2 linked regions of the Arabidopsis thaliana genome follow. Each later gene encodes a partner of the first gene's protein in a complex. Links are inferred from orthologs where the notes say so. Each region holds a gene or a part of one and is shown on either strand. Other genes may lie near its edges.

Region 1 (6,485 bases):
CAACACCAAAAAAACGCATACAAAAATTACACATTAATTCGTTACACATCCTACAAAATTAATTATTATTTCACCTTAAAACTTAAGATCCAGAAAATTCGTTAAGCATAAACGGAAGAAGCATAAGAGAGAGCCATGAGTAACACGGCGGCTTGCTCTTCTTCGCCAAGCTTATTCCGCCGTTGATTCTCAGCCGTTGATCGCTGCATCATCACTTCTCTCCCCAATTCCATTAATCGCTGCTTCAACGAGTCACCAAACTTCGGGTTTCTGTTATGACTCTTCTTCTTCTTATCTTCTGATCTATTTGAGATCAGTGTTCTTCTTTTCTTTCTGTTTCTGATCCCGCATGCGTTACAAAGCGACTACACAAAAAGCAATCGGATCAGATCGAACTAGATAACAATTAGGTCAAATTAAGATCGGGGAAGAGACTAACCTTGGGACCGGCAGGACCGCCTCGCCAAAGAGGGGTTTTGCTGGTACCACAAATGGCACAACTCTTCTTCTCGTTGCTGATAGCTTCATTACTGCTACTGCTGCTGTGTTCTTCGATCGCATCTACTGATGTGAGTTTGCTTTCCATTGATTCTGAATCGATTACCTAAACACAGAAGTAGTAGCGCGTTAAGCTTAATCAATCCGATCGCTAGATATCAGAGCGAGAAGAGGGAATCAGATCACTCACTTTCTCGGTGGGATCTAGCATTACCAGCTTCAGGAACCGCAGATCGTGATTCGTGAACTAGTGTCAAGTCAAGAAGATATGGATCTAGGGTTTCCGATAGAGATCAGAGTAGGCAAGAAACATATAAGACTTGATGAGAATTCAAAGACGAGTGGATCAGGGGAACAAAAATTTGAATCTTGAAAGTAGAAACAGAGAGAGAGAGTGTCAGAGAAACAGAGATTTTTTTTTTTTGATTTCAAAGAAACGACCCAACAGATACCTCACAAAAACTAAACCAAATGGCCAATTATAAATGAAATTGGTTCGGCTAAACCCTAGCTTTAATTTATTGCTTTAAAAGACGAAATTACCCCTGTTTACGTCCTCTAATATCAGGCTAGAGCCACCCGCCAAATATCGCACATAACCCTGTAGGAAAATTTTCGCATAATTTGGGCGCCATTTCGAATGGCGTCGTGTTTTTCCTAATAATGGTGTTTAATAATACTTTCGTCCCGGTTTAATGTCAACCAAGAAATGGGGAAAAAGTCTTTAATGACGTCATATCTCTCTCTTCCAAGTTTAAGCTACAGTGTTATTACATGGACCGGATCGTGAATTTGATGTGCCACATAACTTGGATCCGACCAGATCAACAGCTCTAACCTTTTCACTTAGGTATTGAAACGAACACTGCATACAAACAAATGTCTTAAGACTACATTCTTCATCTATGAAACTAGAAGACATTCTTACCACATCTCAAATGCAAACAACACGGTACCAATCCTAAATTACGGCGATTCTAATCAAATCATAAAGAGTACAAAAGTGTTTTCTCAGTAAAAACTTCACATCTCGTTGTCAATGATATCGTGCATCATCTGTAACGGAATTAGCCCTTCTGTCCTGATTGCATCTTTGCTTGGGTCAGGACTGATGAAGAATAATGTAGGTAACCCTCGAACCTGTATCACAAGAGTTGGTTAATGTAAGAATTTACATTGATATGCTGAGAGGAGATTCATGAAATTTAAAAACATAAGCTGCAAGTTACAGTATACCTGCATGTCGCGTGCAAACTCGTACTCATCATCTGTATCAACTTTCACGATTATTGCATTGCTCTCATACTCTACTGCAAGCTGTTTCACAATGAGCAAAAACTATTTAACACGAGTGTCATGAGTGAAAAAGCAAGTAGATAAAGCCAATCAATAAGAAGATGCTTAGATTCTCCTATCTCACACATTTCTTTTGAATTTGTAGACATGCCAACTACGCGACAAGGTATCTTTGTCATAAAGTATGGGAGAAACAGTCGTAAGATTGGAACTGTTTAACTCCTTTATCTAATTCACCAAAAGAACTAAACCATAGAAGAGACTTGATTAATGAGAGCGGTCTTTCAACTCTAGTCAATTGCCAAACCAAGACCCAAGACAAATCCAGAGTGCCCCCAATACATTTTCATAGCCCCTCTTTAAACATTAAGATCTCAGTAAACTGTAAAGATTTGTTGATGAGCTACCAAAGCTATAATGCACTGCCCAACTCCTATGCAAGTTACAATAGTACTGCACTAGACTTAACAGTAATATACCATCACATTTCAAGATTCAAGTATATTATAACGAACAACCGGGTTCCAAGAGCCAACGTTTGGAAATATATAAGCATTCTAGAGTCTACACATGAAGCAAGTGAAATGGAGAATGTGTAAGAAAGTTGAGTTATGAGAATCCATGGTACCATTTCTAGTTCCTGGGCCATCAAGATACAAGGTCCACACCATGTCGCATAAAAATCAACAATCAACGGCACCTTCCTATCTCCTTTCACCAGTTCCTGAAGTTCTTGAGCTGACAATTTCTTCTGTCAAACCATAAGAAAAGGAACAAAAAACATCCAGAAATCAGTGAGGCTTCCACATGATGGTATCAACAAGAGTCATTCATAAGATTCAAATTAAGCAAATCTCTATTCTGAAGTATTTAACAGTGTACTGGTCGAATCTTTGATAGAACTACCATATATCGTTCTTATATAATAACTACATCTATGCCCAGCCAACTTAATTTCCCAGAAAGGCGAAAAAGGAAGTCGTAAAACGAAAACAAACATGAAATTTTTTGAAATCGACAAAATATGTTGTTTGGAGCGTGAGAGAAAGCGAGAAATTGTCCGTACCACAAGATAATCTTCTCTGACAAACTTGCCGCGAGGCGGAGGACAGAGAAGCTTTCGCGGACGCGTCAACGGCGAGAAGGGCAAGTTTCCGGCGGTGGAGGAGGAGAACGGCGCGGCTACCGGTCGGATTTCCCTCCGGATAAAGAGAGAAGACGGAGCATGGAGGGAGGATAGAATCGGCGATAACGGAGTGTTGAGGTGTGGAAAAGTTCTGGATTGAACAAGAGCCATTTTGGAAATCGATTTCTGCTTCAAAATGATTTCAGTTTTAGCTTTTGAGGGGTTTTAGACGATAAGGCAATTGAACTGGACATATACTAATAGTTCATTAGTTCTTGTCTTTTTACAATTTACTTGCTCAGGTAAAGTCAAATTCATAATAATTTATTGCTGTTTTATGTATACTTTACTTCATAATTCAAATAAAGATTCGAGTCTTTATAACTCGAAGATAAACCCTTCCTTAGGTTTGACCAAAAAAAAAAAAACCTTTCCTTAGGAAATCAGACACCAAACATATTAAGACCAATAAAGGGTTTATGGTTTCAATTTTTTAACCGACATACAAACTGTTGTCAACACAAAAACAAAAGACTCCACTGTAAGTTTTTATAACCCTCCAAAATTTAAAAACAACACAAAGGTCGACTCACGACCGGTGTACCAGTCATTTCAAAAAAATAGCCCTGGACAATGAACCAAACACTTTCTCAGACGCTGTACTTTTAAACCGACCACCCGGTACAAACCTCTGAGACCAGACCAGACCAGACCTGGAGTATAACCATGGCAGTGAAACTAGACTCTGACTGACTCTGACCTTTCACCATTCTCAAGTTGCAAGCTTCCAATTCCATTCCTGTGGGTTTATATTGATCTAAATATCAGATTTTGCATGTTTTCATCAAGAGACGTTGTTAGAAATTTAAGAATTTTTACTTTTATTTACCTTCAGCTGAAGTTGAATCCTCCGGATGGTACTGGAGCTTGATTCCCTCCAAACTGGAACCCAGCCTGAGAACCATCAACACCTGGAGGTTGCTGTGTCTCATCATCTTCCTCTTCAAGCCAGTATGTCTCCAGAATTTTAACAGCCTTCTCATAGATCTCATTGTTGTCATGGCTCTGAAGGTTCTCGATCTTTTCTAGCCCTTCTGCATCATCAATCAGCTGAGCGTAATAGTTCATGTCTCCTGTGTGACCCAAGTTCTTCTCTGCCTCTCCCACCTTCAAAATGTTTTCCAATCCTTCAAGGCAGACAGTTATGATTCTTGGATCTGGGCAAACCAGGAGATCGCATAATGGTTTTATGCACCCTTGCTCCACCAGGTATCTGTATAACCAACGGGAACAGAACATCAATATATATATACACAAAGTATATATATGAGAGAAGAAACTGGAAGTTAGAGGAACGCAAAAAAGACAGTGACATACTTTATTTGATCATGAGAACCACCTGAAGTTGCATTTGAAATTGCCCATGCAGCTTCCTTCTTAATGTCAAATTCAGCATTTTGAAGCAGACTCACCAACGGGGAAATCAAATTAGCCTCAACTACCGTCTGCAACCATCAGGGGAAAAACAACACAATTAATGAATAGGTATAGAAGTCTGGATGGGAAACGGTACAAAACATATGATGAAACAGTACTAATTGCCTACCTGGATCTGATCTTTGTTGCCTGCTGTGATGTTTGAAATCGTCCAGCAAGCTTCCTTCTTTATGCTTTTCTTATGGTTTTGAGTGAGCAGGTTGGCAAGACAAGGTAGAGCACCACTATTGATCACGCACTGGAGAAGAAGTAAAATCAGATTTCCAAGTAAAACGATGTAAACTATTTCAGATATAGAAAAATCACCTTTGCTAAACTCATGAAAAACCAAATTTCACCAAGCAAAAAATTTGTGCATGTTGTTGGTTTAAACTTTAAAACAAGAATTAATTGTAACAAAACTCAAACACAAGCAATATATAGCAAAAAAGGCACTGCATCCTATCTGCTAATATGGACAGAGTGGCAACAGAGGGAGAATCTCATGATAAGCATTCAATACTCCCATTTTTCACATAAAATGTTGGATATGAATAATAGCAACAGGGTGCCATACATTTGAACAACACCTCATCGCAATTACCAGTCTTGGATTAGATGATATGCATGGTATATCACTAACTTCGACATGTTTTTGCTATCGGTTCAATTAATGAAAAGTTCTAGTGGTATCTTCAGACCTATTCCTAAAGGCCAAAGAATTGCATAACCACAAAGATATTCTTTGGCATAGTAGGAAAAATATATACTATCATATACAATGTGCAAAACCGAAATACTGTGAGAAATTCAATAGACAGGATTTAGATCCATACCTGTGTTTGTATATCATCTCCAGTAACTATATTTCCAACAGTGCGAAGAGCAGGAATTAGCACAGATGGAGAATGATGGCTAAAAATCAAGAGCAAGGTATCAAGTTATTTGTCAACAAATGTGTGAAGTGGACATGAAATAAGGGAATTATAAAATGGTACTGACAGGAGAAGTTCAACAAGTTTTGGGACAACACCGGCCTGGATGACAGTCTGGATTTTGTCATTGGTCCCATCAGAGAGGTAAGAAAGAGCCCAACAGGCATCTGTCAAGACTTCTTCATCATCTGAATGAATTAGTCGTTCAAGGGCGGGAAGAGCAGGTTTGACCTGTTAAACATGCTTCATATGTTAGAAGAATACTAGACATAAACATTGACGAAACAAGCTTGGAGGGGAAAAAAATAGACCTGGTCAAAGTGAGGCTGAGGCTTGCCACGACAGAAGTTTGACAAGGTCCAAGTGGCATTTCGAAGCATGGACAATTTAGCATGCTCATTAAGCTGATTGAGCAGCGGAAGCAGTGCCCCACATCCAAGAACAAGATCACGGCACCGTGGTGAATCACCAGCAACGTTACCCAAAGCCCATACAGCCTGCAGGTTAGAGCGAAATCTTAAGATCAGGGTTTCACAAAATTTTCAATTGCATAATCTCTCATAATAAATGAGAAGACATTCTGTAGTCATCAGAAGTTCCATACCTGTTCACGAACATCATCGCTAGGGGAAGCAAGAAGCTGAACAAAGATTGGAACAGCATTGTGATCGATTACAACCTTAGTGTGATCCGATGTTCCAGATGCAATGTTTGTTAGAGCCCAAGCTGCCTCAAACTAAAATAAAAATCATAAAAGATGAGAAGAGAAGATTACAGTGAAGAATGAATCAATAAGAGACATTAATTATCTCACCTGAATGGCGGGGTAATCTTCTTTCTTAAGAAACTCAACAAACCTAGGAACAACACCAGCACTTATCACTTCCTCGATTGGAGGACTTCTCTCTATGCAATTATAATAGAGACAGAGAGACAAAAGTTAAAGGGGACACTCCAAATTATATCAAAACGGGAAATAAAAGAGAATTAAGAAAAGGAATTACCAATAGAGAGAAGCTTCCTGAACTGAGTAGTGGACTCAAGCTGCAAGGCAGGGTCATCGGACCAAACCCCAGCGACCATATCCTTCAGACTATCCAACTACAAATGTTTTTTTAAAGCCAATCAATCACAAGACAACTACCGTAACCAGA
Region 2 (6,738 bases), about 18 Mb from region 1:
TTTAATTATCCTCTCCTTTGGCGGAAAGATTGGTTTCCCATAAGACCGGAGCAGCGGAAAGAGTCATTGGAGGACACGAGGCAAGTATCCAAAATCCGACTACTACAAATCAAAGATGTCGAGCAACACGTCTTTCTATTATGGGGGATTTGAACATGCAGGAGCTGTTCAGCTTAGATTCTACTCTGTTATTTTATGTTTTAGTTTTTGTCTTTTCTTACTCTTTTAGGTTTCTTTTTTTGTGGCTTTGTTTTGTTTGTTGTATCGGGATACCAAATAATATTCAGTTGCTATATATGTTCATTAACTGGACAAAGAATTTTTATTATGTATACGTCTATTACAAAGTATTTTTCTTTTGAATTCTTGATATATATATAGAAAACATGTCTAGCCAAATCTATTTATGATATTAATTCTACAAATCAACTAATTACCAAGAGGTTTGATTCAATAAGACGTGAGCTGATTACCGCTACATTCACTTTATTTTGTCTGCTCTCTCTTCAATGATATCAACCAAAATCAGAATGAATGTGCCAGTGGTATCTAATGCAATATGTAGCTAGACGATTTTAGCATGCAGAAAAATTAACTAACGTTGGTTAAAAAGTATGAAGTATACAAAATTTATCATTCTCTCAAAGTCTCAAGAAAATATCATGTCTAATGGAGGAACAATTTTAAAAATAACTTACCCATCCCCCTAAGCTAGGCTACTTATAAAGTCTTTATTTGATTTAATCACTTTCAACGCATACTTAATTTTGACAAACTGTCTTTGACATCACAAACTGAAATATTGAAGTTATTAACATTCATTTCAAGTCCCTCTAAGGCTCTAACTACATATCTTACCAAGCAAAGCTGGGAAACATCACAAACTGAGATATTGGAAGTTACCACCCAAAAACTTCTTTGCGTTTGCTTTTTCTTTGACATCACCATAAGTAAACATCCCAATATCTCTTTCAAATAAGTAAACATCCCAAAAATCTTTGATATTTTATTAAATATTTGGCTTGTATTATGTGAAATCTGATTGCATTGTTCAAAAAGTCCGTGAACACTTGTAAATGCAAGATCTGATTGCATTGTTCTCTGTTGAAAAGTTTTGTAATTAGAATTAGGAGTAATATAGCACTAAAAAAGTACGATTCATTTTCCATTTGTATGATTGTATCCGATCAAGACAGCTTGTAGAATCGATTCTCCTTTCATGAGAAGCATCAAGACTTGGACCATCCAGATTGAACTAAAAAAATTGATTGTACATTTCTCTGGATTACAAATCTGAATCAGTATACAACTCACACATTGTTCAAAAACATTGAGTACACAAGTTCAGTTCTTCATCTTCTATTCTACCACATTGATGGAACATAAACTTGTTCTTTCAAATTCTGTGTCGCGCTTTCAGTAGGGAAACCTCTAACTGCACCAATTGTCCACTGCGCTATGATCCCAGCAGCAACTGCAAACCTGAGCTGTCGCTCCATCACATCCTGATCCTCAAACATCTCAGGACAAGTTGTTAGCTTTCTCATTATCCCTGCAACAACAGCATCACCAGAACCTGTCCTATCACAGGTGAAAGGAGTTATAAGCACATCTTCTGTTCCAATCACAACACCATCAAAAGTAGGAGTATAGTAATGAAGCCGAAGTGTTCCATCAGTCACAACCAGTAGCTTCAGCTTGTCATGCCACAATGACTTGATTTCCTCTGGTGTGTAATGGTAATAGTCTCTTCTGTTTTTCGTCTGATCAAAATCCTCAGCGAAGTACTGTGGTGTGTAGTTTCTTCTCCTCTCGTAGTAATCTTCATCAAGTAGAAACTCAAGCTCTTGCTGTGAAACTTCAATGATGTTTGCTTCATTCCATGCTTTCTTGATCAACTTCCTAGTCTCATTGCGCGATCTCCACAGCGGTAATGGGAGATTCAAGTCAAAGAAAATAAGCCCACCAAACTTCTTAGACCATTGTATTGCCGTAAAAAGAGTTGATTGCATTGTAGGAGACGTCAACACTTCTGAATTGAAATGAAAAATCCTCGCCTGCATTAGAAGCACCAGTAACAAACAAAAAGCTTAAAAACCAAGCAGAGAAGTGCTCTGTTTCATTATCCAAATCTTATCCTTTATGCTCAAAGACAGAGACTTTTGCATAAGAAACCAAGCTCGAGCTTTCATGTCATAAACCCTAGACTAAACTTGTTCCTCCTAAACCCTAGGTGCTCTGTTTCATGATTATGCTCGAGCTATAATGTCATACACCCTAGATTGTTCCTCTTAAACCCTAGATTGTTCCTCATAGATTGAAAGATTGTTACCTCTTTAAGCACAGCTAAATTGAGTTCTGAAGCAAATAGCGAGTCCTCAGGTGGTTCTTTCACAGTCTCCGCCATCATTTTCCCGTCCTTAAACTTGATCTTGACACGAGTACAAGCAGTTTTCGAATTCTCATCGAATTTCACAGCTCTCGTCTGAACTCTCTCCTGATTCATCATCAGAACAAGCTCATCTCCAAAATCATCTTCACCTACTTTCCCCATAAACGCAGCTCTCCCACCTAACCGTACATGAGAGATCGCCACATTCGACGGCGGACCTCCCGGAGCTCTCCCAAACTCCGGTGGATCCCACTGTAGCATCTTCCACTGCGAGTACATATCAGGATGCATCGGATTATCATGGACTCGCACCACCGGAACAAACTCCTTCTGTACAGCTCCGAAGCAACACACAAGAGGCGGATCGTCGTACGGAAACTCGATCCCGTCGTCGTAATCAGCTAACTCCGGATTCAATTCAGGATCAGTCTCGGTGTTATCTTTCTCAATTACCGTCGATGTTTGCTTCTTCTTCCTCCCTTTGCGACTAGGTTTAGAGGTGGTTTCCGCTGCAGCTCCGTTTGTGATTCCGCTGCCATTAATTGAAGCTTTCGGAGTGAGAAATCGCCTTGATGCTTGTGAATGGCGAACTACTAGTACCTCTCTACGGTCCAGTGAAGAATCAAAATGGTGAAGGTGGGGGAAAATAAGAAGTGAAGCCATTGATGGGTTTTTGACACCACTGTCAGGGTTTATCCAAATCTTCTTCCTCTTCAAAAAAAAACATATCGGGTCCTGACCCGACTTTTATTCAAACCGGGTCAATCCTAACCCGGTTCGGGTTTTTACTTAATGCTGAAGAAGAAAAATCAGTTCAATTTTCTAAAGAAGAAACAAATTAAACCTCACCGACGGATTCAATTCTCTCGTTCTCAGGCCGTCTTCATCGCCGGAGCGTTTTCTTACGGTAATCTTGCACTCGATTCAGCTCCTTCATTTTGATTTTTTCTTCACTGGTTGTTGCTAGATTTGGGTTTTTCGCTTCCTTGTGGGAATTGATCGATTAGTTTGGCTGCTTCTTCTATTAGCAACCTTGGATCTTCATTTACTTTCTCGATCTCATGTTTAGGTCAGCAGTTTCAAGGTTTATGATTCCTGCGTAATTTATTGCATAGCTTAAAATTGGGATTGTGTATTCTCTGTTTCTGTACCAAGCTTAGCTTAATCGGTATGCATTTGCTCTAATATCTATTTTCACATTTTGGTTTAGACAAAGTGTTCATTGATAGATTGTCTTCTTCACTTGTGAATTGTGATGAAACTTAGTAATCTTTTGATTGCTGAAACTGGGAAGTCTCAGGATTCCTCTCTTCTTCTTTTTTCATTCAAGATGTTGTGATTGACTAAGTGTACTTTTGTTGAAGCAGATCCACAAGAAAATCTCATCTAGTGCTCTTAGGGTTGATCGAGCTTGTTGCTTTTCTCGTGAAGCATACTTATGTTGCTTATGTGATTAGCATATCCTCAGAAGTGTTGATATACAATATGTCTAGGTTAAGGCTCTTTGGAATGCTAACTCGGTGACCGTCCTGCCATTGTTTAGATTTCTAGATATTATTGCAAGGCAGGAATAAGTTCAATCTGGTGGCTTTTTTGATGTGTTAGAAACAAGATTTTGCACTGCTATCTTCATGGTTCTCTGCGCTTTAGATCTACAGAACACATCAGTAGCTTACATTTGCATGCACTTAGTCTCCATTCATTTTGTTTCTAAACCTATTAAAAGATAACTTTGTTCCACTCTCTTTCCCTGATTCTGATCATTTTGAGCTCTATGCATCACAGAAAAGAATGGGCTTCTGGACATTGTTAAAAGGTCTGCTGCTCTTTGCAAATGCACTGGCAATCCTCAACGAAGACCGTTTCCTTGTTCCAAGAGGATGGACACTCGGAGAACTCCACCAAACCGATAGAAGAAACTCTCCCAAAGGCCAAATCATTGGTCTGATCCATGCCTGCCAGTACATGAGGCTACCCCTCATGCTCATTAACACAGCAGTCATCGTCTTGAAGCTTATCTCCGGTTGAAGATTTTGTGTAGATGAAGATAAACTACATTGCGTTCTTCAAATGATTGTGATTAGTTACAAATCTATTTTGTGTAGGAGTTGGAATTTGTTTTTGTCATCCCTCGCACTCAAGTTTGGTGTGCATTCTACAACATTCTTCTCATATTTTTACATGCCAAATCAAACTAAAATGCCAAATGGTAACAAGGTTGCAAGCTTACACACATGAAAATAAGAAGGGGTTACATTAGCCAGTGAAGAACCTCGTGGATAACTAGTTACCAAGAATCTACTTGACTACATTAACAGTTCACATATCCTAAACACACAAAAATCACCAAACATGACTTCACTTCCTTTCTTGTTTCGCATCAGCATTACTCGTCACAACTTCCATTTTCTCCATCTTCTTATACCCAAACTCCTTGGTCTTGATCCCACATTCCTCCTGCATCACCATCGCAAGATTGTTCCTTTTGAAAGCTGCATATATATGCATCATGGCAAAGAACACAAGCCCTGTTGATCCAAAGGTCATGACGAAGCAAGTGACAACCTCCCACATCCTATCACTTGTCCTCTTCTTCGCAGCCTCCTCTTTTCTAAGTTGTTCCTCTTTTCTAAGTTGTTCCTCCAAAAGCACCGGCGCCCAAGAGTGCTCATACTCGGAGTGTCTCACTTCTAAACTCCAAGAATGAAGATTTACATTCCCACTATACGAATTCACAGCAACCATGAACTCATCCTCATCTCTCAACATTTGTGACAAATCAATCTGATCAAACATCAGAGGAAGAACAGATTCAAAGCTTTTAGATTTACTTAACCGGACTTCTAAGAACTTGCCACCAGCTTGGTAATTAATCCAAGCGTACAACAAAACCTTCTCCGTCTTCTCCAAGTTTGCGATCGTGAAATTGCGAATCCTCTCAGACACCGTAGCACCATCAACAATCACCGCGACATTAGAATCTCCAATTTGGGTGAAACTGTCAAAAGTATCGAACTTTACTTGGAATAAAGAGTGATCAAACGTTTCATTAACAGGAAACACTACAAATCCGAGTCTCCCACCACGACTAGGAGAAATCGAGAAAGAGAAGAAAGTAGAGAATCCGGTGAAATACTCGAATTTTATATTGTTCATGGACTCAATGGGTTTCTTATAGATGACTCGCCCACCACCGTGACTCACTGAGTCAGTCAGCTGAATCGAAGATCCGCCGTCGACGAGCTTAGCGTCGCCGTACAGGGCAAAGTCTTCGGACTCAAAGCTCGCATTTTTACCGGAGCTTGTGAACGAGAACGATGAGGTAGCTTCCGAAATCGAGATGCTGGAGAGTAATGCGGTGAGAGACAGGAGTAGAACGAGTAATGACCTGGAGAGAATGAAGCTCGCCATTAATGAAGCACGCTTGCTTTTGAGATTGATTTCTAGGGTTTAAAATTGGAGATGGGATCGGACCCCTGATGGAGAAGAGTAAAGTGGTGACTGTGGTGGGGGAAGAGAGAGAGGAAGAACAGAGAGGTATGGGTCAAGCACTTGGACAATGTGAAAAAGCGTTAAAGGTGTCAACTTTTGTCTCCCTCGTTTCTGAGTTTTTCCCTATCTTTGTTTTCACTGTTGTAAAACCCCAAAAATGCTTATCTTTTTCATTTAATTCCAATTACACTCAAGTGCATTTTATTTAACTCCAGTTACAAACTCGACATGCCAAATAGTTTAGTAGCACAAAATACTAGATGGAACCAATAGTGGTACTGTGGTAGTATTAAGTAAAGTAAAGGCATGGACGAAGTCCATTGAATCCACTTATGAGAGTATCTAGGGTGGCTTCTTAGTGTGATAAATCTTCCCGGAAATTGCCGCTGCTGACTTAATCTACTACGGGTCGTCATTTGGTTGTTGGCTCTATCACATGAACATCGTCTCCAAACCGTGATTATATATTGTTTTCTTTTTGACACCACATCAACTATGTCAAAGAACAAATTAAGAAGGGCACATCATCTTTCATGGCAAACGCGGCTATCAATTTGAAATTTATCCAAAGTCTCACAAAAATGTATATTTTATCATATAAGTTGGAAGTGAATAACAAAAGTTTATGTATTTTTCTAGAAGTTGGTAACAAGTCAGTGTTTTCCCTAGCAAAAACTTCTGTTTCTTGTGGACTGAGTTGTTTTGTTGGGTTATTTAGTTTTGAGATATATAAAAACGAGAAAAATGTCATTTAAATCATCACTTAATCATTTTCGTTGGTTTAAAGCATAAACTCTGGACCTTGTGATTTAAATCCTCAATTTTATGTTAACTTTTATTTTAATCATGAATTT

The links. The genes of interacting proteins can lie anywhere in the genome.
Region 2: the proteins of TRX z (region 1) and FLN1 are in contact, whole or in part, in a cryo-EM structure (PDB 8XZV), measured with the Spinacia oleracea proteins. The link is inferred for Arabidopsis thaliana from one-to-one orthologs. Residues at the interface, in XP_021862427.2 of Spinacia oleracea: Tyr73, Val75, Lys77, Ile83, Thr84, Val87, Arg88, Tyr100, Ala101, Thr102, Trp103, Cys104, Gly105, Pro106, Cys107, Ile108, Ala111, Gln112, Lys129, Asp131, Thr132, Asp133, Asp134, Tyr136, Phe138, Arg140, Asp141, Met142, Gln143, Val144; in XP_021865197.1 of Spinacia oleracea: Gln111, Lys112, Glu113, Phe114, Val115, Pro116, Ser117, Val118, Arg119, Val120, Ser121, His123, Gln124, Met125, Asp126, Pro127, Asp128, Ile129, Tyr130, Trp133, Met136, Gln137, Pro141, Phe143, Asp175, Phe176, Lys201, Ala203, Cys204, Ser205.

Annotation. Positions count from the first base shown.
Region 1 is NC_003074.8:2,120,882-2,127,366, reverse strand, and holds TRX z (Thioredoxin z), read right to left. Parts: upstream 3,213-6,485; 5' UTR 3,092-3,212; coding exon 2,861-3,091; intron 2,546-2,860; coding exon 2,423-2,545; intron 1,816-2,422; coding exon 1,735-1,815; intron 1,639-1,734; coding exon 1,522-1,638; 3' UTR 1,211-1,521; downstream 1-1,210. Other genes in the region: GATA15 (GATA transcription factor 15), read right to left, coding at 102-365, 440-604, 689-709; IMPA-1 (importin alpha), read right to left, coding at 3,812-4,193, 4,298-4,425, 4,527-4,655, 5,233-5,311, 5,399-5,562, 5,643-5,828, 5,936-6,067, 6,146-6,237 and 1 more. UniProt on the Arabidopsis thaliana protein: Thiol-disulfide oxidoreductase that plays a role in proper chloroplast development, most likely through regulating plastid-encoded polymerase (PEP) dependent chloroplast transcription.
Region 2 is NC_003074.8:20,024,462-20,031,199, reverse strand, and holds FLN1 (fructokinase-like 1), read right to left. Parts: upstream 3,149-6,738; 5' UTR 3,056-3,148; coding exon 2,333-3,055; intron 2,058-2,332; coding exon 1,365-2,057; 3' UTR 1,145-1,364; downstream 1-1,144. Other genes in the region: AT3G54085 (Yos1-like protein), read left to right, coding at 4,184-4,420; AT3G54080 (Concanavalin A-like lectin family protein), read right to left, coding at 4,751-5,803. UniProt on the Arabidopsis thaliana protein: Required for proper chloroplast development, most likely through regulating plastid-encoded polymerase (PEP) dependent chloroplast transcription.